3 linked regions of the Lepisosteus oculatus genome follow. The protein of the gene in region 1 purifies or fractionates together with the protein of each later gene. This does not show direct contact. Links are inferred from orthologs where the notes say so. Each region holds a gene or a part of one and is shown in the gene's direction. Other genes may lie near its edges.

What was found.
Region 2: the proteins of larp7 (region 1) and hp1bp3 purify together in Homo sapiens (affinity purification with mass spectrometry; 3 studies listed by BioGRID and IntAct, with this or other methods). This does not show direct contact. The link is inferred for Lepisosteus oculatus from reciprocal best matches to the Homo sapiens genes LARP7 and HP1BP3.
Region 3: the proteins of larp7 (region 1) and kpna3 purify together in Homo sapiens (affinity purification with mass spectrometry; 3 studies listed by BioGRID and IntAct, with this or other methods). This does not show direct contact. The link is inferred for Lepisosteus oculatus from reciprocal best matches to the Homo sapiens genes LARP7 and KPNA3.

Annotation. Positions count from the first base shown.
Region 1 is NC_090696.1:33,853,099-33,860,176, forward strand, and holds the start of larp7 (la-related protein 7), read left to right. Parts: upstream 1-4,070; 5' UTR 4,071-4,141; intron 4,142-4,147; exon of another isoform or gene 4,148-4,441; intron 4,442-5,155; 5' UTR 5,156-5,163; coding exon 5,164-5,371; intron 5,372-6,093; coding exon 6,094-6,194; intron 6,195-6,790; coding exon 6,791-6,874; intron 6,875-7,078. Other genes in the region: NACHT, LRR and PYD domains-containing protein 3-like, read left to right, coding at 564-891. UniProt on the Homo sapiens protein: RNA-binding protein that specifically binds distinct small nuclear RNA (snRNAs) and regulates their processing and function.
Region 2 is NC_090720.1:7,261,674-7,269,006, reverse strand, and holds the start of hp1bp3 (heterochromatin protein 1-binding protein 3), read left to right. Parts: upstream 1-4,312; 5' UTR 4,313-4,619; intron 4,620-4,814; exon of another isoform or gene 4,815-4,898; intron 4,899-5,587; 5' UTR 5,588-5,596; coding exon 5,597-5,663; intron 5,664-6,813; coding exon 6,814-6,991; intron 6,992-7,333. Other genes in the region: eif4g3b (eukaryotic translation initiation factor 4 gamma 3), read left to right, coding at 101-282. UniProt on the Homo sapiens protein: Component of heterochromatin that maintains heterochromatin integrity during G1/S progression and regulates the duration of G1 phase to critically influence cell proliferative capacity.
Region 3 is NC_090710.1:26,351,035-26,358,453, reverse strand, and holds the start of kpna3 (importin subunit alpha-4), read left to right. Parts: upstream 1-4,398; 5' UTR 4,399-4,487; coding exon 4,488-4,799; intron 4,800-7,419. Other genes in the region: spryd7a (SPRY domain-containing protein 7), read left to right, coding at 1,400-1,497. UniProt on the Homo sapiens protein: Functions in nuclear protein import as an adapter protein for nuclear receptor KPNB1. Binds specifically and directly to substrates containing either a simple or bipartite NLS motif.

The DNA of each region.
Region 1 (7,078 bases):
GTTTGTTTTCATTGTGGTCAAATCCTGAATGTTTTAGCCATTCATCCATCCATTTTCTAAACTGTTTATCCAATACAGGGTCACAGGGGAGTCAGAGCCTAGAGGTTTTAATTGAGTAATCATTCAGTGTGTTTTAATTACAATGATGAACCTAAATAGCACTTCGGCCTTGCAGTGCTGGGGTTCTGGGTTCAATTCTGAGCCTGGGGCGCCATCTGTGTGGAGTTTTTATGTGGTCTCCATGTTTGTGTGGGATTTCATACCTGGTTTTCTCCCACAGTCCAAAGACATCCTGGTAGATTAATTGCTTCTAGGATAATTGTCACTGATGAGAGTGTTTTTGTGTCTGTAATGTGACGGACTATTGTGCTGTCCAGGGTGTTCCCAGACTTTGTCCACTGTTTGCTGGGATAGGCTCCAGCTCCCCCACAACCCTAAATTGAATGAAACAGTAAGGAAATAAATGGCAGCATGGATAATAAACCTTACTAATTAACATTTTTGATCAACCTGAAAAACAACAGAAGTGAATCACTTTATCATCCAAATTGGCATTGTTTCAGCGCAGTTTGGAATGAAGTGGACAAAGAAGAAGAGGACAAACTGAGGAGCATCTCTCCTGAAAGATTCTTTGTCATCAACTTCACAGATGATGCATTTTGGCAAGAGTGGGGCAAATGGGTTCTACAGAGGTGTGAAGTGAACAGTGATGAGAAACTTGTTAACTTTCTTTGTAAAGTCTGTAATGTTTCCATTCTAAACCTGGAAATATGTTGGGTACAGCAGTGGTACACAAAGTTGAAACACCTGGTCAGATCCAGAATTGCTCAGTGCAATGATGACAGTATCCGAAAAAAACTAGAAAAGTTTGAAACAATTTTATCCTTTTGATTTACAGATCAAATATAGTAAAAAGCAAAATGATATGCAAGGCTCAGAAAGTGCACATCACATTTGAACAATTAAACAAATAAATCCCTACATACTGTATAGTACTTTGTTCCCTGTATTGTCATATTCTGGGAAAGTATTTTTTTTCTTTTTCAGTCTAGTGTGAATATATTTCTAAGATGGTATCCACCCTAACCAAACTTCATACTGTGTATGGCTTTAAATAATTGAATACCAGTCTTTGTCTGTTTAAAAGTTTAAACTAAATACTTTCAGACTCTTTATCTTCTGGTAAATAAGCAAAGAAGATCCAAGTTAATTACAGGGTTAATAATAATAATAATAATAATAATTGCTTACACTTATATAGCGCTTTTCTGGACACTCCACTCAAAGCGCTTTACAGGTAATGGGGACTCCCCTCCACCAATTTGCAGCATCCACCTGGATGCGACGGCAGCCATAGTGTGCCAGAACGCTCACCACACATCAGCTATCAGTGGGGAGGAGAGCAGAGTAATGTAGCCAATTCATAGAGGGGGATTATTAGGAGGCCATGATTGGAAGGGCCAATGGGAAATTTGGCCAGGACGCTGGGGTTACACCCCTACTCTTTTCGAGAAACACCCTGGGATTTTTAATGACCACAGAGAGTCAGGACCTCGGTTTTACATCTCATCTGAAGGACGGCGCCTGTTTACAGTATAATGTCCCCGTCACTATACTGGGGCATTAGGACCCACATGGACTGCAGGGTAAGGTCTCCCAGGTACTGACCAGGCTCACACCCGCTTAGTTTCAGTGGGCTGCCAGTTGTGAGTTGCAGGGTGATATGGCTATTGGCTAACATTGGTGACATTAGAATTTAAATCTAATTCGGTTATTACACACGTGATGTGTACATTCACAATAACAATGCTAAACAGTTTTATTTCTGTCCATCCATTGTCTAACCGCTTTCTATGTATTTATATTTATAATTTGCAATACAACTTTTTGTGTACTGTTCTGGTTTTTGTATATTCTGTACTGTGAGCAACTCTTTTTAGTGCACTTCTCACTGATTGTACTGACTGTATTGTATTGTTGTATCATTTCGTTACACTGTCCTGTGTTGACTGTGCTAAGCTGCTGTTGCACTGCAATTTCCCTCACGGGATCAATAAAGTATCTATCTTTATCCAGTGCAGAATTGTGGATAAAGTCAAAGTCCATTCTGGAAGACAACAGGCAGGAAACACCCTCGACAGGACATGTCTTCATCTCAGAGAACACACAAACATGCACGTGCACTGCAGCGAGCATGTTTGTTTTTTGGCCTTCTTTCACTAGAATAAGCTATTTCTGTTGAAGGGTCTCCAGTTGAGTAGTGTGTTCGGAGACTAAGAGAAAATATTCTTGCTAATAGGTTAGGCTGTATGGGGTAAACCTGGTTTCTGCGTTAATCTTCCAGATTATTTCATGCTCGCTTTCTGCTCTGCAAAATGATTTCTGTGTGATGTGAGTAGATTTGTCTTGCTTTTAGACTAGGTTTTTTTTTATCTGTAAATAGATGTCATTGGTGTGTGGTTAATTTGGTGCGACATGAATATAATGATTTCTTTTTTCGAAATTTAATGGTAGCACATATTTATTAAGAGAAGATGTTTTATTCATGTATCTTTCTTTTGTTAATTATCTCTTGGGTTTTTACTGTTGAAAATAAACCCCATGGTTTAGAATGCTGTGTCCCCTCTCTCTCATTAACACCACAGTTTCTTAGCCAAATTGAGAATCTAATGCTTTAGGGAACCACCAGACCTCAATAAAACAGAATTTCTAGACATCTAAGACACTAGGTGGCAGTCTAGTTAAATGTACCTTTTTATTAACAAATGTATTGCTATAATTTATCAAAATATGATAAGAGATAGGATCACTTTATCAGCCATATACAATTTCTTACATGAGGCATTTGTCTTTTTCACATACCCCAGCTTGCTTTCCATTAGACACACAGATAGGGAGAGAGAAGCTTGGGGTCAGAGTGTAGGGTCAGTCATTTATACAGCACCCCTGGAGCAGTTGGGGTTAAGAGCCTTGCTCATGTGCCCAACAGAGTAGGATTCCTCTGCCAGCTGTAGGATTTGAACAGGCAACCTTCCAGCCCCGGATACAGAGCCTTAGCAACAGTGCCACCACTCCAAGTGTTAATAATGCTAACAAATCAACCTGAAGAGAATCTTTAAAATATCACTTTTCATTGTTTCCCAGATATGTTTGATATGTTGAAATAATTGATAAGTTATTTTTTGTATCTCAAAATTATATCCCATGCATTTTAATCATAAGAGCATGAGAAATGTTCATCAATGACCTTCAGGGCATTTGGTTGTTAGTAGTTTAGTAATTCGAAGTTCTCATCCACCTGTTTCAAGAAAGAAGCCCGAGCTGTAAGTTGTAAATGCACTTTCCTGTAGATTCTGTAGTTTCCAGTTGTGTCCTCTGGCTTGTGATTCACGTTTGATTCTAACCAAGTCAAAGAGACTGTTTTTTTCAGCGTGTTTCTGCATTCAGAGGACTTGCTCCTCTAGTTGTCTTCTATGTAGATATGCAAAAGCTGTTTCAGACTTCCAGTTTATTTAAGGCATCGCTCAAAGTGTGTTCTTATCCCCATAGAACATTATTCACCCAGTAATACATATTAGTAGCAGAACCCCCACTTATCCACAAATGATATCTAAAATGTTTTACATGCAAATAAAACTTTGAATGGAGGGAGAATAACAGGTCGATACTTCAATGTCCTGTTTAAAAGTAGAACTGTCTTTGAACCTAAATACTGTATATCAATAAAGAAAACAATTTCCGTGAGTAACAACTGGAGAATATAGCATTTTTTAGTTTCGTTTAATTTGCTAAAACTGCTTTATGATAGTACTTTTAGGAGTTTGCTGTCATTTTGAAGGTCGACGTTATTTATTACAAAATATGAATAATTACATTTGTAGGAAAACATATTTTGCAAAATATGCGCTCCCGTAAGATTTTATAACGGTAAGATTTCTTGTCTACCGTTCTGTTCTCTGAGTCAATTTTGCTTGATAAGAGAGCCTGAAAACGCAAGCTGACTGTTTGAATACAGTCTTATCAAGCCTTGCTGAGTCAAGAACGATAAAAGCGGGACGAGAATTGTTCATATTACCCGCGGGTAAAACGTCATCGAGTAGCGACAGTCCACTTCCTCAGAAAGCGCCTGAATCAGTTAAAGGTAAAACATCTGATTGATGGAAACAAATACGCTTCTTTGTTAAAAGACAAATAATATACTGAAACTAAAAAGGGTCACAATTGCTTTGAAATATTTTAAGTTATTGTGTTGGCTTTTGTTAGTCAGTGAGAATTTTGGAAAAATGTGCGAAAGGTCCTTCTCCCTGGCCGCGTGAGGGGGAAATAGTCTGAGTTTCAAAGGATTTGCGGCGGACTGGTACTGTATGTGCTTGTGAGTACAAAATAAGAAGACTGTAATGTTTCGCTTGTGTTTCGTGCGATGTGGTAAAGACGATTCATGGTAATACGTCGTTTTGCAGTTTTGAATGAAAATGTTAAATCGCACGTTTGGTAAACTAGTGATTACTTTTAGAAGGGGCGTTTTCTCCGTTACTCGAGAGTGTTTGCAAACAAAATAACAGGACTCTTATGTGCAAGAATAGCACGGGTGTTGTTGGGCTGTTTGATTCATGCAACAGAAGCGTAAACAAATCGTTTTTGAAGATAATGTTTTAATTTTTTTCGCTTTAAACACATAACAATCCATACAAACTGGAAAGTTCTGTAGGTAATATTTAACCACTTTAAGAAGCCGTTTAGAAATCGGTACTTTTAGCATTATTTTATATATGTACCATTATTTATTTATTTATTTATTCTAAGATTATTATTATTTTTGCAACTGTAAAATCAGAATTATCCCTAAAAACTATAATGTGCTGTGCTTCGGGTAATGAATCGGTCATCTGGAAACGTCTTGATTTAGTTATTAGTTAATACTTACAATAAAGTTTTAATTAAAAATAACACTCAATGTACTTATCGTGAAATTGTTCATTGTAGAATGCATGAGGAAGAATTCCCACGACATGTCATCTTTAGGGGGAAAATCAGAGATTGAGTTTATGCTAACCTTTCCGTGGAAAGAACTAAAGATAACCTCAGCATACAGACACCAACTGTATAATGTAAGTACAGTACAGTAACTGAAAATAATTCTGCAATTTCTTTACAGTGGCAGAAATGATTGACACAGAGAGTAAACAAGCGGGAAGTGACAGCATCAAGGGGGACTGCAGTGAAAAAAAGAAAGAAAAAGAGAAAAAAAAGAGATCGAGAGTGAAACAGCTCCTTTCTGATGTGAAAAAGCAAGTGGAGTTTTGGTTTGGTGATGTCAATCTCTACAAAGACAAATTTTTAAGAGAACTTCTGGAGAAATCCAGGGATGGATGTGAGTGTTCTGTATTATCTTTGTCTTCCAGATTAGATTCAGCAATGTTTTAATCATTAAACCCTTCCAATGCACAAACGGCAAGTTAGAGATTTTTCTTATAATGTCTGTTTTTCTTGTATATAACACATATTCTAAGTTATAACGTAAAATGCATTTACTCATGTGTATTTGGTGTACAGTATATAGGGATATGACACAAGTGCCCATATACAGTACTTGCCTTGTTTTAAAAATATTTGTTACCGAGTTTAGAGCTTTGTGATGATTTACTTTGCCTTCCTGTAATACAAAGCACTTAAATATTATGTAAAGTAGTTAAACACTTTCCTGATGTTAAAGCATTCAGTGAATTTCTTGCACCACATCAGTATTTCCATTAACTGGTGGTCTAATGCTTGTCGGTTTAGCAGTTTCAAGGCAAATGTGTTTTAAGAGTGGTTCCGAAACTTGGGCCTAGGAGATCAGTCTATCTTCTGTTTTTTGCTCCTCCTGAGTTCTTAAATACTGATATTTGTGCAGGAGTGCTAAGACGTTTAAGGGGCCAGAATGAGGAAATGGCAATCTGCTCACTTTAATCATTCGACTATGCATTTTAATATACTTATGGAAAGACCTAAAGAGACTACATACTATAGGTGTGATTTATTTTTAAATGGAATAAACATGACTGTTTATCCTTGCAGTTCTTCTTCAATAACCTCTGTTATAATTCTTTACAGACATAGATATTTCTGTGTTAACGTCTTTCAACCGAATGAAAAAGTTGACAACTGATGTGAAATTAATTGCAAGAGCTCTGAAAAATTCGCCTGTAGTAGAGGTAAGTTGTTTTCCATTATAAACCTTTTGTAGAAGAAATAAAGAAGTATTTACAGTGATATAAATGCCATTCAAAATCATGTCAGCTCTTGAATCTATGTTACAATTTAATCACATCTTGATCCAAAAGGCTGAAAACGCCAGTCGCAAATTTTGAGTGTATGAGCTTTAATATTCTGCGGCTAAAATCTTATTTTCCCCCTAAAGATGACATGTCTTGGGTCTCACGGGAATGCATGAGGGAATTCTTCTTCATGCATTTAAGAGATTGTAAATAAAATTGGACTAACGAAGTTGGTTAAAACATTTTCGAAAACGACAAAAGTGAGCTAATATTATTTTCTGAACAATTCCTGAATTCTTGGAGTTATATTTTAATAGAAAATGTTCCTCAATGTAGTCACTTCTCATGTCTTCCCTTACAACCTTACAGATCAGCTTAGGGTGTGTCTTCAAAGCCTTTAAATAATATTGTATGTTTTATAGCCTCTGTACATATTTCCTTTAATCCTTAACCTCTTGACTGAGAGAAATAATGGTTAAATGTGAGGTGTTGTGGTGCATGTGAATAATCTATTCAATAATTAATTTCTTTAGGTGAACCTAGAAGGAACTCAAATCCGAAGACAGCACCCGCTCGGAGAGGACCCTAAAAATGTAGACCAACGTACAGTATACGTGGTTAGTTGTCTTTTTTGTGTTAAACTAAGTATGGTAAAAAGCAAACTTGTTGGACCTACTGTTATTCAGATTCCAGTGGTTCGGCTTTATGACCCTGACATAACTTAAAAGGATTCTAGTTCACAGACGGATTCTTCCTTTACAATATATTGATCAGCAAAACCAGCTAAAAGGAAGAAGCTGCTGCATAGATCAGACAGCCCC
Region 2 (7,333 bases), on another chromosome or scaffold:
GCTGCTGCATCTCTGAAGTGTCCTAAAATGACAACTGATAAAAATTCAAGTGTGAATGAGGAAATTCAGAAAGTCTGTTTTCTTTGCTTTTCATTTTCAGATTTGCTACGGATGTTTTTTGACTGTTTGTACGATGAAGACGTGATCTCAGAAGATGCTTTCTACAAATGGGAGTCGAGCAAGGACCCTGCTGAGCAGCTGGGCAAGGGAGTAGCGCTGAAGTCAGTCACAGCCTTTTTCACATGGCTTAGGGAAGCTGAAGAGGAATCGGAAGATAATTGACGAGAGGAGAGAATCTTCGCCAATTAGTGCAGAAAGGCCAATTGTTGCTGAACACAATGAAAAAAAACATGCACAGATAGATGAAAAAAGGTTGAAAACTTCATGGTACGGTTCTAAGACTTGCAGCAATTTGAGTTTGAGTTCACAGGCGAGAGCACTAAACATGTATTATTTATAGAAAATATTTTTGTTTTAAATTTTAAAACCTTCTTTTGTTACTTTTTAAGAAAGACTTTAAAACCAATTTCTGTGCAACAAAGACAAATAGGTTCTGAACTCTTTAATTTATTATTTTTTTAAGGACTGCAAATATGGAAGTTTATTTAACATTTGCAGATGCTCACGAGAAGGAGACGAGCGCGGACGATAAAAAATAATCGTGAAAGAATAATTGCCTCCCTGGATTCCAAACTGTTTGGTGAAAAACAGGGTAAAGAAATGCTCTTTTGGGGAGGGGGGTGGGTGGGTCAGTGGGTGGTGGGGGGGAGACACAGGAAGGGCAGATGTTTAAAAGACATCAGAGATTAAAGGTTATTATTAAATAACCACAAAAACTCTTCCTTCTGCTTTGGCTTGCTCTAAGTGATATGTATATTATCCTCCAAACGGGCAGAAATCCGCATTCAGAAGACAATACAGTCTGCAAGAACTTCAAATGAACAACAATGAAGAATTAAGAATTAAGTGAACGTACAGACAGCAACTTGTACAAAAATCAAATAACGTATGGTTGCTGAACATAAAGTGCTTGTAATACTTCAGACTTATAGAGCAAATTTAAAGCTTGTAAATACATTAAAGAAAAAAGATATTTAAAAAAACTAAATGAAACATCAGTGTGGTCCATTTCTTGCACACTTCTGGAAGAGAAGTGTAAGTCAATCCTTATTAGGTATTGTTTTGATGGTAAACAAGTCTCCCATATTGTTTGAGACAAAATTGTTCGGTCAGGAACAGCAGGTACAGCAGCTGAAGACTTCCAGGAAAGTAGTGGTGTATTTCACAGTCAATCCAGTTGACAATGGAAACATACTGTGTTCAGTATTGTCAAATGCACTTCAAGGGTTTTCCACAGCAGTGGTACAAGCAACTGGAGGTAATGGCTTATGATTTCCCCCAGAATTATGAAGCATATGATGCAGGGATTTGCATTGTAGCGGCACTATGATTGTAAATCTGTTAAGTGTTTGGATTTGACACTGGATAATGAGATTACTAACCATACTTGGACACACCAAAAACAAAGTCTTTGTTGGTCTTTAGTTGTTAAAATAGCAGTGGGACAGTGGTGCCTTTTCCTTGCAGTCATAAATCATGTATCCCCGTCTTCCTTGAAAGGCCTGTAGAGTGCCAAATGGATCTGAGACAGCCGGCTCCCCCTCACAGGGCTTGGTTGCGCTGAAACACAGGCTGCTCTTCCTGCCGTCTTCGTAAGGTTTGCTCATATGGCCTTGCTTCCACTGTTCTCATTTCAGCTATGTGTGCGTGGAAGATGGCGGTGGGTGTGTGGTGACCTGGCCTCTTGTCCAGGGTGTATCCTGCCTTGAGCCTGTTGCTTGCTGGCGATAGGCCCCAGCCCCCCCATGACCCTGTATTTGATATTGGATACAGTCCCAGTGCGGATTGTTTTCGCTGTTGGGAGAACCTCCAGATTTGTAATCCTGTCCCATGGGTGATCACACTTCATGTGTGGTGTTCCTCAGGATGTTGTTGAACATATACTGTTGGAGTACCTGACTTCATAAGGTTTGTATCAGTTTGTTTACAATTACATATTAGAAACTGGGTTTTAAACAGTTACTCCTGAGTATGGGAAAATATCAAGACAAATCTCAATATACAGTACAAAATAAGATGACTGAAGAGCAAGGAAGCCCTTGAACGTCATTTACAACTTTCAGCACTGAAGTAGTCGCCATCATAGGAGCCTGTGAGTACTGTTAGCTTTACAATACATAAGATTAGCTATGTTAAACATTTTTATAGTTATATATTTTGCTTTGTATTGAATATGGTACAGTTCTATTTGTGGGTATTGGGTTAAACAGTTATTGATTTGGCTGATAATTTTGTCCAAAGCAGCTTAAATTTGTCATCTTGACATCTGGAACAATTCCTCTAATAAGCTAAAGGTAGGATTACAGCAGTGCCTTATCTAGGATTTGAACCCCAAATGTTTTCACTAGGTATATCCCTGACAAACTTTACAAAAGACTTGTCCTCAATAGTAAAATATGATTTTCAATTCCCTTAACCTTCCTTTATCAGCAAAATATCAAGTCCTTACATTCGCAAATATCTGTGAAGGTCATGAGAAACGTTTTCCATTTATAAAATGACTTGCTATAAGTGTATTTGTTGTATGCATTAATTTGAAAACACTTTCATTTTCAGTAGATCGAATTCAATGTAAAACAAATGGAACCACACTACTATATTTTTTTTTTCATGAGGACGAAGTATGAATAGGAAGGTTTTATGGTCAGAACCAAAACAGGGTCATCTGTTCTGCATCTGAGATGTTTGTTAAATAAGAAGTGTTCCGTGAAGCACTTGAAAAGTGCTGTGTATGAATCCCCAGAGCACAAATGGACCAGATGAGTCTGTACTCAATGGTTGATGACTTCACCTCAGTAGTACTTAATGTACTTAAACATTCAACATCCTTTTTTTTTTTTTTGCGTCTTTGTGGTCGCAGTGGTTAGCATTGTTGCCTGCCTGCGCCTGTCCTGGAGTGTAATCTGTGTGGAGTTTGCATGCTCTCCCCTTATGTGTGTGGGTTTCCTCCGGGAGCTGCCTCCCACAGTCCCAAGACACACTGGTAGGTTAAGTGGTTAGTTCTGGGGACAGCTGGCTCTGGTGTGAGTGTGTGCGAGTCTCTGTCTGCCTTGCAGTTGACTGGTGACCCATGCAGTGTGTATCCAGCCTTGCGCCTCTGGGTTACCGGGATATGTGCCGGCTCCCCCGCGACCCTGACTTGGACTCAGCAGCTGGACTCATTTTTATCCTGTATGCATCCATAGTAAAGTGTCTTTTTTGCTAACGAATTCATGCCCTCTGAAGCGGTGGACTTGCATCTTAATTTTAGGTTCTTAGTGGCTTGAGCATGACGAGTATGCGTGCCTTTTTTTTTTGTAGTTCAGGTGGGTAGCTGCGTCAGCATGCGTAGGCTGCAAAGGAACAAGTAATAGGTTTATTCCATGCTGAAAAAAAGAAGAAAGAGAACACAACGTTTTGGTCGTGGAGCCTTCTTCAGGTGTGCTTCTTCAGCCTTCTTGCACACCTGAAGAAGGCTCCACGACCAAAACGTTGTGTTCTCTTTCTTCTTTTTTTCAGCATGGAATAAACCTATTGTTCCTTTTTTTTGTATCGCGTTTCTGCTTCCATAAACTTCAGCAAACCGGGACATGCCGGCTAACCGCTTGCTTCATCGCTGCTAGGGTCGGAGATACTTGGGTTTTTAAGGTGAAGAGTTAATCACAGCGGGGATTCTCACGCATCAATCCGGAGGTAGCTGTCGCGCAAGACTGCTGTCATTGTGTTCCATGTGACAGGCTTATGACTTTGAGCGGAGGTTGATGAAAATAATGCGGCAGATTGTGGGCATGGATTTGTAAAGGAGCACATCTGTAGTTACGAGTGCCCGGAGACCCCTACTGACCCCTATTTATTTTCTTGCGAAAGTAGTATTGCTAGTTTATTGCGATCTGACAAATTAAAACATTTCAATACTTGATGTAACATACAGTACACACACCTAGGTCAAATGGTATTTTAGAAAAATAAATGACTTTTTTTTTCCGGAGGAAGGGGGCAAAACTTTTATATACTCTAGCTCTCTATAACAAGAATCCCAACCTTCCCTCTTTATTGAAGTCGAATTGGGTCGGCTATTTTGATGTTCTCTCAAGACGAATCCAAGTGCGACCGAACAAAGGCGTTTGACGTTAGATGTTATTATAAGCCATTCCAGAATTCGAATTTCTGGTTTTATCGGTCATATATGGGCAAGGGGTTAGTTAAAACTCGGTTTAAAACTCGTAGCTGTTACGCCGGGTCTCTTCATTTGCTACACATACAGAATACATATTTTTCGGTAAATATAAACGTGGTAGACATCGTGCCTTCGGCAGTGCCCGGACAGCCACTATCGCACACAATGGTGCAGAACCGGAGACTGAGGAGAGCCCGTGATTGGACAGAATTTAAGAAGAGGATCCTGGACGCCCGACGTAGTGACGTGCCTACGCAGGGAGGCGGGGCCGGGGTGCTGATCAAATTCTAAATAAAAGGAGAGGACAGTTTGAATACAAACAAATACATCAAGTACAATAAAGGTAAGAAAGTAAAAGGAGCAGCGTGTATCGAAACGGAGGAAAATAAACCAGGGTGGAAATGCATTAGTTGTTCTCATCTGTTGTTTTTGCAAACGCTGTTTTGCATTGTAACTTCATGCATTAAAAAAAAAAAAACATCGGCTCACTGCAACGCCATTACTGTATAGGTTCAATGGACAAAATGGCCAATTTTTCCATTTTTTTATTGTAGGAGGTGTAGTTTGTTTCTGTTATTGTGTTATCCCGTTTTCACCTCCCCGATGGAGGTGGAGAACCGAGGTACGAATCCAAACCTTAAGAAAATCCCCACCGAGGTGTGCGCTGTGCACGGGCAGTAATAAGCGTAGCATTCTTCTGTTTTTTTTTTTTAATTTTTCCTAACGGTGTTTGTTTTTGAATGAGTCGGTAGGATTTCTGTTTGCATAGGCCCTAGACACATTTTTAAGTACGCCTGCGCGGTCTTTAGGTTTTCGGTAATGATTGGTTGGTAATTTTATTTTAAAAATGTATATTTCTTACACCAGCATACAGTATTCTAATCTTTTTTTATTGTTGCTTTTTCTTAAAACACGCACACCAATTAAAAGCGCGATAGAGCGAGAGATATTTTAGCCTTGAGCAAGGAGAAGATCTAGCTACGTGCATTTCTATAAAGTGCATAAAGTACTATTACTTATACAAAGATATTTTTACACCAGTAGCAAACCTTGTGCCGCGTTGGGGTTTGTGTTAAAAATGGTAATTAAACTCAGTGATTCTTAAGAGCTAGATTCCAGTCACTTAAAGAGGTAATTTAAACATTTCGGTTTTACTGAAGGTCTATTAGCCCTGATATTGCAACACAAGATGTAGTTTCCTTCTGGTGCACAGCTCAGGTGTTTAGGACCTTTCAGTGAGTCTCCCGTGTGTCGATTTGGGGATGTTGCCAGAGCTGTTCCTCATTGCCAGTCACTGTGCCCCTGTTTCAGGTTTCAGCCATGCCCATCCGCCGAGCTGCTGGGACGCCACCCCAGGAGACAGCCCCCAAGAACCCCACAGCAGCAGGTGAGCCGCCCTCGTTTGGGTCTGGGATCTGGGGCTTCGGGGTGCACCCAGCGTCATGCACCCCACACCCCTTCCACTGCAACCCAGGGGGTCTGTCCTTTCTTCCGAGGGCTTTGACTTCCTTCTGCAGGTTCTGGGCAGAAACGGCGCCCTCCTGTTCGGTCGCAGTGCCACGAGACGCTCTCTAGACAAGTACAAAGGCAAGGAATTTTGCACTGGCCCTAAACTGCGTTTCATCAGTATACCTCTGAGCAAAATACGGTTTAACATGACAAATTGCAAAGCCACGTTGCAGACACTGTTTCTCTAGACACCCCATTCTATAGGATACTAGCCAGGATGAATGTGGTAGACTGAGTGGCCCAATGACCTTTCTTGTGTTCTGATTATGGGAATTGTTTTAAGGTATCTCCCCCACTGGAGGGGGATAAAGGGATATATAACAGAGGGAAATGGTGTATGGAGGGGTTTTCCTGACCCTGTATAAACTACAGCTGGAGACGCTTGTATAGAACAAGGCCGCATCTGTTCTTAGTTATATAGTGCCTTACATGTAGGACAATAAAAAAGCGAAACTGGACTGGGACATGGCCATCCTGATCTCAATGGGAGGACATTCCGTAATTTCCATAAGTTGAAAATGGGGAAAGGTCCTTCTCCACAAAGGGTTGTGGCAATGGTACAGAGGGTTATCCGATGTCATTTGCCATCAGTTGATGAGATTCGCCCCATCCGCCGTCACAATAAAGCCCGATTCATCGTTGGGGATCCCAGTCATCACGGCCACAAACTGATCTTAAGAACATCCTCTACCCTGCTGCAGTGCGCATCATAAACAGCTAACTGTGCAGTGCCACAGGACCGAATGCACCTCTCCACTGTGCACCTTTGACTTGGACTACCATGTTGTTTGTTGTTCTCTACAGCATCTTTATTGTTCTGGTTGTCACTGTGTGTTATGTACTGTTTTGTAATGCCCCGTCTACAGTGTGATGCGTTGTCTGCTGTACCGTGTATGTCCTGAGAGATCAGCGTGAATAAGAATTCCACTTTGTATGTACATATGGCAGTGAGCTCCTCTGCCCGTCTTTTGCCACTTGACTGGTGGAGTAAGCAGGACTTGCTCTTTTTCCTCCCTGTCTCTGCGCAGAGCCCGACGCCAGCTCCGAGGAGTCGGCGTCCGCAGGGGAGGAGCAGGAGAGCGAGGCCCCGGCGCCGGCCCCGGCCCCTGCTGCTGAGGACGGGCAGGCCAAGGGAGACGGCAAGGAACCCGAAAGCAAGGAGGAGAAGAAGGAGGAGAAGAAGCCTGCTGAGGAGCAGAAGAAAGAGTAACTCATCTCGTCGCGGCCTCAGGGCTTCAGTGTCGGGGGGGGGTTTATACTCGTCTGTGGTGGCGTTTCAGGACGCCAGAAGACATTCTACTCCCTGACGCGGGGCTGGAGGAAGAATGTCTTCTGTGCCCTAGATGTGCGTTTTCCCACGTCTCCCTAAAATTCAAATTCAAGCTCTGGGACTGCTCTGCTGGGATTCAGGATTCACAGTCCAGCACGTCCTGTAGTTGTGTCTTCGAGACGGAAGAGAAGTTTTAGGAGGAGGGAAGAGTTTAAGACGGGTAGCATGGAAGTACAGTGATTAGCATTGCTGTCCCAGAGTGCGGGTGCCCTAGGTCC
Region 3 (7,419 bases), on another chromosome or scaffold:
ACTTTAAAACTCTTCAACTCTTTGATTTTGTATCGGTTCTATCATCTGCAGAAAGCCCTTAAGAAACAGATTTGTTAAGGCAAGAATTATTTTTAAAGTATGCTACAACAGGGCCATAATTTGGATTCCTTGGACTGTTTGATGCCCTGTCCCCTTGGATTAGTGGTTAAGATTTGGTCAAACCCAAGCTTAGGCATTTCCCCTTCACGAACAAGTCCATCGGGCTCCAGGCAAATTCGTTTGTGACTTTTGTGAGTTGTGACTACCACAGAACACAAGGTAATGTTTTAAACAGTGTAAGGTATTTCTGCTTTTGGTGTGTTCTTTGTTTACCTGCATTGACTGTTGATTACACTAGAGACCTGACAGTATCAAACCCACCCTTGACAAACAGGTACTCACTCATTACATTACAGAAAGGAGCTGTGCATAATCAATTGAGCTTTGCATTAACTGGGGAGATATAGGCCAACACAAGTTGTCTGCTGAAATAATTAGCTTGGAAATAATGTGTACGCACTATAGTAAAGAAATCTTTGGCTAATGGAGAACTTCAGAACTGTAGTTTATGAACTAAGTTCATACTGCCATTTGTTATGGATTATTTTATCCTTGCTTGGCTTCTGGGAAAATTGGCCTTAGATGTGAGTGTGTCTGTCTTTGTATCTGTTTGCCCTCCTATGGCCTGGTTAACGTCCTGTCCAGGGTGGATGCCGCCTTGCTCCCTGTAACTTGCTGGAGCAGACTCCGACTCCGACCCAGAATTTTAAGAAGCAGTTAGGAAATGGAGGGATGATGGTAGGTGGGCCCAGCCAGGACACTAGGGAAACACTCCTACTCTCACACAGGAATGGCAGAGTAATCAGGACCTGAGTGTAACATCTCCTCCTAAGGCCGGCGCCTGATACACCACAGTGCCCTGGCTTCCAAGCATTGGATTCACAATGGGGAAGAGTGCCCCCTACTGGCCTGCAGCCATGCTATTTTCCTTAAAAGTCTCCCATCCCAGTACTGACTAGACTCAGCGCATTCTGAGATAATGGCTGTAGGGGGGGGAACATTGTCATTTGTAAGAGTTGTTACTTTCGGTGTTTGTTCGTCACTTCAGCATGTTTAGAACTGTAATCACAATTTAAGCTAGTATCACTGTAAGATGAAGCGTGGTCTCCAATTAACAGTGCTTCTGTAACTGTAATATTATTTCTGACAGGTCCTGGGTCTAATGGGAAGGTGCAGTTTCCTTGCCATTTGCTGCACCCAGTTCTTCTCTATGATTAAGTTTTAGCCAGTGGCTTCTGGGTGTTGTCTTTAGCGGAGCTGCTTAAGTTTCAGCCTGGATGACAGAAGAGAGTCACCTTAGTCCTCTGTCTTCATGACCTTTTCTCCTGTGTGTTTCCAGTGGATGACAGTGCCATACTGGATTGCCAGTTCAGCGACTTCTACCACACGCCACCCCAAGGGTTTGAGAAGATCCTGTTCGAGCAGCAGATCTTCTAAAAAAAAAAAAAACACTGCCTCTCGTGAACGCACCTGCACTCTTCCAAAGCTCTCTGTCTGTGTGTTTCTCTGAAGCTCTGTGACTTGTATCATTGTCCGGTTTGTATGGAGTTCTCCTGTGAAAGCTTTATGTTCCAGCCTTGTTCTTCCCAGTGCGCAGTCTGGAGATCAACTGGAAGACCCTAGGTGTTAAAGTACTCCAACGTCTCAGTGTGGACCAGGCTTTGTTGCTATATTTAAAAGAAAGAAAACTGCACTGATAGTGTCGGCCCTGCTCTTCAAGTCCCGTGTAAAAAGCAGTGCAGATTTCTAGTAGTAGCAGTGAAAAACACTAGGTTTATATTGTCAGCAGTCTTGACTGAGCCCCTTTGATGTAGGAATGAAACTTTCTCTCTTGCACCATGTTGGGAATAATTTCTGCACATTGGTTACTGAATTCAGGTGTATAAGATGGTATCGTGTCACTAGTAACTGTTGAAGCCATAGTTATGAAGCCTGTGATACAGTACTGTCTATTGGTGTTGAAATTATTTTGCTTTTTGTTGTAATCTACATTCTACATGTCCACATTGCCTCACTTCTTGAGGTGTTTAACTTGAATTTGACATCATTAATGAAACATTTCTAGTTCCACATATTGGGAGATGGTTCACAAATGCAGTATACTGATAATGAGTTGTCGTTTCACCGATTAGCTCACTGCATAAAGCCGTCTGATGAATATAAAATGTATGTTGTAAAACGCTATAGAACTTTTCACTGTTGATTTTCCTTTCACATAAACCCCCCAATATCTCTTTTTTTCTCCCCCTCTCAAACCTTGTTTTGTGACGGAAAAAATAAAATCCAAAATGAATCCTGGACGCCGACAACTTCGCTAAAATAGGTCTCATTAGTTTTGGCTGCCGAAATTCAGGGAGGTCTTTTTCAATAATGAGCACATTTTAAACCGTTCTTTTTCCCCCATTATGGAGACAATTTTTTCCTTTTTCGTTGCTGACATCCGTTTTAAATGTTTCAAAACAATGTTTTGTTTGCACTAATGAAACTTGATGTGTTGAGTATTAAAAATCCAAATGGGTTTTGTTGTAAGTCTACACTAAAATAAAAAATTTGCACCTGGACTAAGGAGTTTCTCAGTTTTGAAGATCATTGGTGTTTGGTTTTAGATCTCACTTCAGTATGCAAGTATTTCGCTGGTTGCCAATATAAATAGCAAGTTGGTTTACTGGCCTTTAAATATGAAAGCTCTCGGGTTTCTGAGCATATTTCTCAAGATCTACAGGGTTTGCTTAGGTTTTATCCTCTCTGGTATGCATGAAGATTATCACAATATTCCAGGTGGCCCTGCCCACAAGCTGCAATTAAATGAAGATTAAAGACATCTCAACTCTTGTTTTCTAATGCATTTTATATTTCCTACATTAAATATGCACAGATGACCAAGATTTTTTTTTCTTGCACTAGCTAACTGAAGTTACTTGCAGAGGGAAGGTGATGAAAGGAGCGGGAGGGGAAATAGAATCGATAGTTTTTTGCCTCCCTGTAACTCTCCATTATCTGGTAGAGTGTACATCCCAGCCTCTAGGGAGCGCACATCGCGTATCTTTTGTCACCCATCCCTCGTGAGGGAGGGGCGGGCTGGGCGCGACCTTGGGCTCCACTTCATCGGGGACGCGCCTCAGTTGCGCGTGTTCTGGGCACGTGTTGCCGTAAGAAAACATTTGCTCAAGCAATCTCTTGTATCCCGGTTTCAAATAATATAGTCAGGCCGGTTTAGGTGTGAGCAGTTATTTTTAAAAAAAAACAAGTCTCGTTTCAACATTAGCATAATGTGCACGGGAATTGTAGGCGAACAAGAAGACGCGTTTGATAGTAGGATCCGGTATCCTAGTGCAGGAATAATTTTAATACAGGCATATCCTGGAATGACAATCGCACATTTCGCTTCTTTTATACAAATCAAGAACTAGTATATACCTTTCAGTATAGTTATATAGTGTGTAGGCTGAAATGTTTACATCACACCTTTAAATTCTCCATGTGCTCAGACAGTATGAGAACCCTGAAAATCATACGTATTGTGAACCGAAAGAAGTTCGTCCGTTGCGTGTTCTAGTTGAAATTGCATTTTTAAATGATTTTAGATTGACAAAGCTATTCGTTTGATTTTTTTTTTTGGAAAATGGGTGTTGATTTGAAAACATTACATATCTTCTCCAGAAAATAATCCTTTAAGCGAATATCTCAATTTTGATAGGTACAGTATGCTCGTCCAAAATACTAGGGTGTATTTCTTGTGCTATCTTTTACTCTGCTGAAGCACATTTTCCCACCTCAAGACACTAAAAATAATCTGGGAACAGTATTTTTAGGTTTGTAACATCTGCTTTTTCTGTATGAAATGTAGGCGCATTTAAAACGTTTCCGTCTGTTGAGGAATTCTGAACTTGAATTCAGTTTAATATTTAACAAAAGACGTCCATAATTTGACATATTTGCTTAAATCTAGCTCTATAAATTGTGAAATTTAACGCCCCATGTTGTGTACTTAGTTGCTTTACTATTCCGTATTGTGCTGTCTGAATTAATATGCATGTTTCCATGGATTCAACGCACCAGATGTGATGCTTTAAAGACACAATTAATCTTTGATATATACGGTGCAATTGAACTCCGTTAAAGACGACACAGCTCGACTGTTAACTTCCTGTAGAGGGAACACCAACATGTATGTAAAGAATCTATGCACCACAACGGTATTCTTGTGTATTTATCGGAACTGTCCATGTTTCTAACTTACGTAAGGCATGCGCACTCTTTATAACGTGAAATACACTGACGCAAGTCTACAAGTAGGCTGGAATAACGACCTCAAAACCCCGTTTGCTGGGGGAGAAAACTCGGGAGCGATCTAGCCAACAGCCGATGTAATCCGCCGGCTAGAGACGCGGGCTAGCTGAAGGCCCTCGCTGTGTTTATATTTGTCGATGCGCACATCCATTGTGCAATCGCACCCCAACCAACAGCTCGCTCGCAGCGCCGGGGCCTCTCTCCGGCTTTCTCCAGCTGCCGAGCGTGGCTCCTCCTTCCCGGCCCTCCTGCCCCGCCGCCTTCCGTTACGTCTGGCCGCCCCCCTCTCCGCTGCACAGCGGACTGTCTCACCCCCTCTCTCTCTCTCTCACTGGAGCTCCGAGCGCCGGACCGCACTCGCACCGAGCACACACAGAGCCATGGCAGAAAACGCCGGCTTGGAGAACCACCGCATCAAGAGCTTTAAAAACAAGGGACGCGATGTCGAGGTAAGGGGGGAGCCCAGGGGATGGCGGCATGGTGGTGGTGGTGGCGGCGGCGCCGCGGCGGGCCCGGCCGGGCCGGTCCGGTCCGGGCTGAACCGGGGTGGGGGCGCGGGCGGTGAGCGGCTGTGCCCTCCGGGCCTTGCGACCGGCTGTGGGTTTTTTTTTTTTTGCTGGATGCTGCTGCTGCTGCTGCTGTTGCTGTTGGGGGTAAGAGGAGCGTTTATTCCGGAACAACCCCCACCGCCGCCGCCGCCACCACCACCATCATCATGCAGTGCGGGCGCGGCCTAAAGGAAAGGCCTTCTCTGTGCCATTAAACCGCGTTTTAATCGTTCCTCCACCGTCTTATGCTTTTCCCTAGTGAAAAAAATAATAATAAAGCGATTAACCTGTGCTTTTCTTCTTTTGGTTTTATTCGGGGCCTTTTTAATTGCTGTGGGGGGAAAAAAAATCTAGTTAGCATCACACTCAGTTGAGCCTCTTTTTTTTTTTCTTTTTGCTCTGCTCTTGGTAATGGTGTTCCTGACAAAACGGTCTACGAAAAATGGGGTTCTGTCCTAGCCTTTTCCCTCCCCTCTCAAATCTTCCCTGATTTGGAGAAAAAAAAAAGCAAAGAGGGGGGGAAAAACGAGACTAGAAAGGAGAGCGTAGCCAAGAGCCGGACTGGCCAAACGGCGCACTTTTCCGCATTTGAAAGGGGCGGCTGTAGCACGCCTTTCCCTGCCCAGATGTAGAAAACCGAGCAGGCCGTAAGCCCTTGACTCGGCTGCAGGGACAGAGACGGCGCCTGACCCAGCCGGCTCCTCAGGCGGCCGGTCGCCGGCGACATGCAGAGTGAATGTGATGGATTGTCATTGTTGAGATCACGATGGGCCCTGTAACATTTGAAACGCAACCTGTGTGCAGCCCGTGAGGGATTGTGCTACTGCGGTAAAAGCCGGCCCCGAAGTCATGGGGTTTTGTAGCTCTGTTGCTGTGTTGTATGCAGGATTGCTTCCGTCCGTGGTTTGATTAGGTTAGGGCACACAACTAGTTTTTAAGGGCCTGGCATGCATATGACGGTAAATGAATACATCAGTCGCTGTAACTCAGGTGCGTTTTCACTTTTTTTTTTTACCTGCGCTGTTTTGGGAGGAGATCTAAGCAATATGTGCGGCACAGTGGGAGAAGATGTAAGGACACAGTTCGTTAGAAAGAGGCATAGCGGTTGGTGCTGATAATTAAGGGACTGGGAGATATGATTGCAGACGTCTCACTGGCGTGCTGAATGAAATTTAAAATTCAAAAAATCGTCTAAGGTGCTAGTGCGGGTGCCTGTTGTTTCAAAGTGCGTTTTGCGTTTAGCTGTTCTGCCTTGAAGTTCGTACATTGAAGCTTTTGCGGTTTCGTTTTACTTTATTGGTGTTACAAATCGGCAAGCAGAGAAGGAACAAACGGGGATTATTCATTCACTGCGCTAACGATTCTTAGCCTGGTTTGATAAGTGTTGCAATACTTGGAAAATGAGGTAAATCCACTTAAGATCTCCAAGGTTTTGCTAATGCTGAGCGTTTTTCGTGGGAGACTAGCGCGATTGCTTTATAATGGCATTGTTTGCACAACTATTTCGCGTGGACACCTCTGATCTCCTGAGATATGTAGGCTCTGTGTCCTGTTCATCACAGCATACACACAAGAACAGCCCTCTTGGGAAACATACAACCTCATCTCAATTTTAGGACATGCCCCTAATTTTAGGTTGGACTGCTGTTTCTTTAGACCAAGATGATTACAGGCTGACCCACATCTGTCGTTTAAAGGGTTGTTGGATGACCATGGCACTGTGCAGTCTTTTCTGACCAGCTCTTGTTTGTCATTTGTTGCCACATCAGGCTCTGAACTTGCCTATTGTAGCAACTGTAGTTACCTGTGTAGTTGTTCAGTCTGAAGCTGTGACAGCTTGACTTTAACATGCCGTCTATGTGTATCTTTTCAATGGTTGTAGAATCTCATCTTTATTTAGAATTGTTTTTTTTGACTGAGCAGTCTTTCTCTTATGGATTTCAGGGACCACCTATGCATTCATGACTTTATGCAGCTGTTTTTTTTTTAAATTGAGCTCATTTTGCCTCATTTGAATCCTTTGGATTGTTTGCGCTCTGGCGCAGTCATGTGTTTCAGGTTAATTTAATAACGGTAGAGCTACCTGAATGCCTCATCTGATGGAAATGGAAGACCTGCTAATCGGGCAAGGTGTTTGGTCAGTTCGGGTACGAAGAAGGTGACTATGGCTGGAGCCGCAGTAGAAACGAAAAGACAAGGTGTATCTAAAACTAGGAGCTGAGAAACCAGGTCCCACAGCTCTGTTTTGCTACAGGAACACTTCCATCACATGGCCGGTGTGAATGTGCAGTTTGTGGAGATGTCATTTCTAATACACTGTACCAGTCCTGATAAAGAGTCCTAGGATTGCGTGCAGTGCATTTATTAACACTTTCTAACTGGAACGCACAGTGGGCTGTTTTTGAGTTCATGCTTTGTTTGTCTCATGATATGATATTTCATGGTATATGGAAACAATATAGCCTTTAATAATGCATTAAGTTCTTTTCAAATAACTCAAAGTGCTGTACGGTAGTATGTG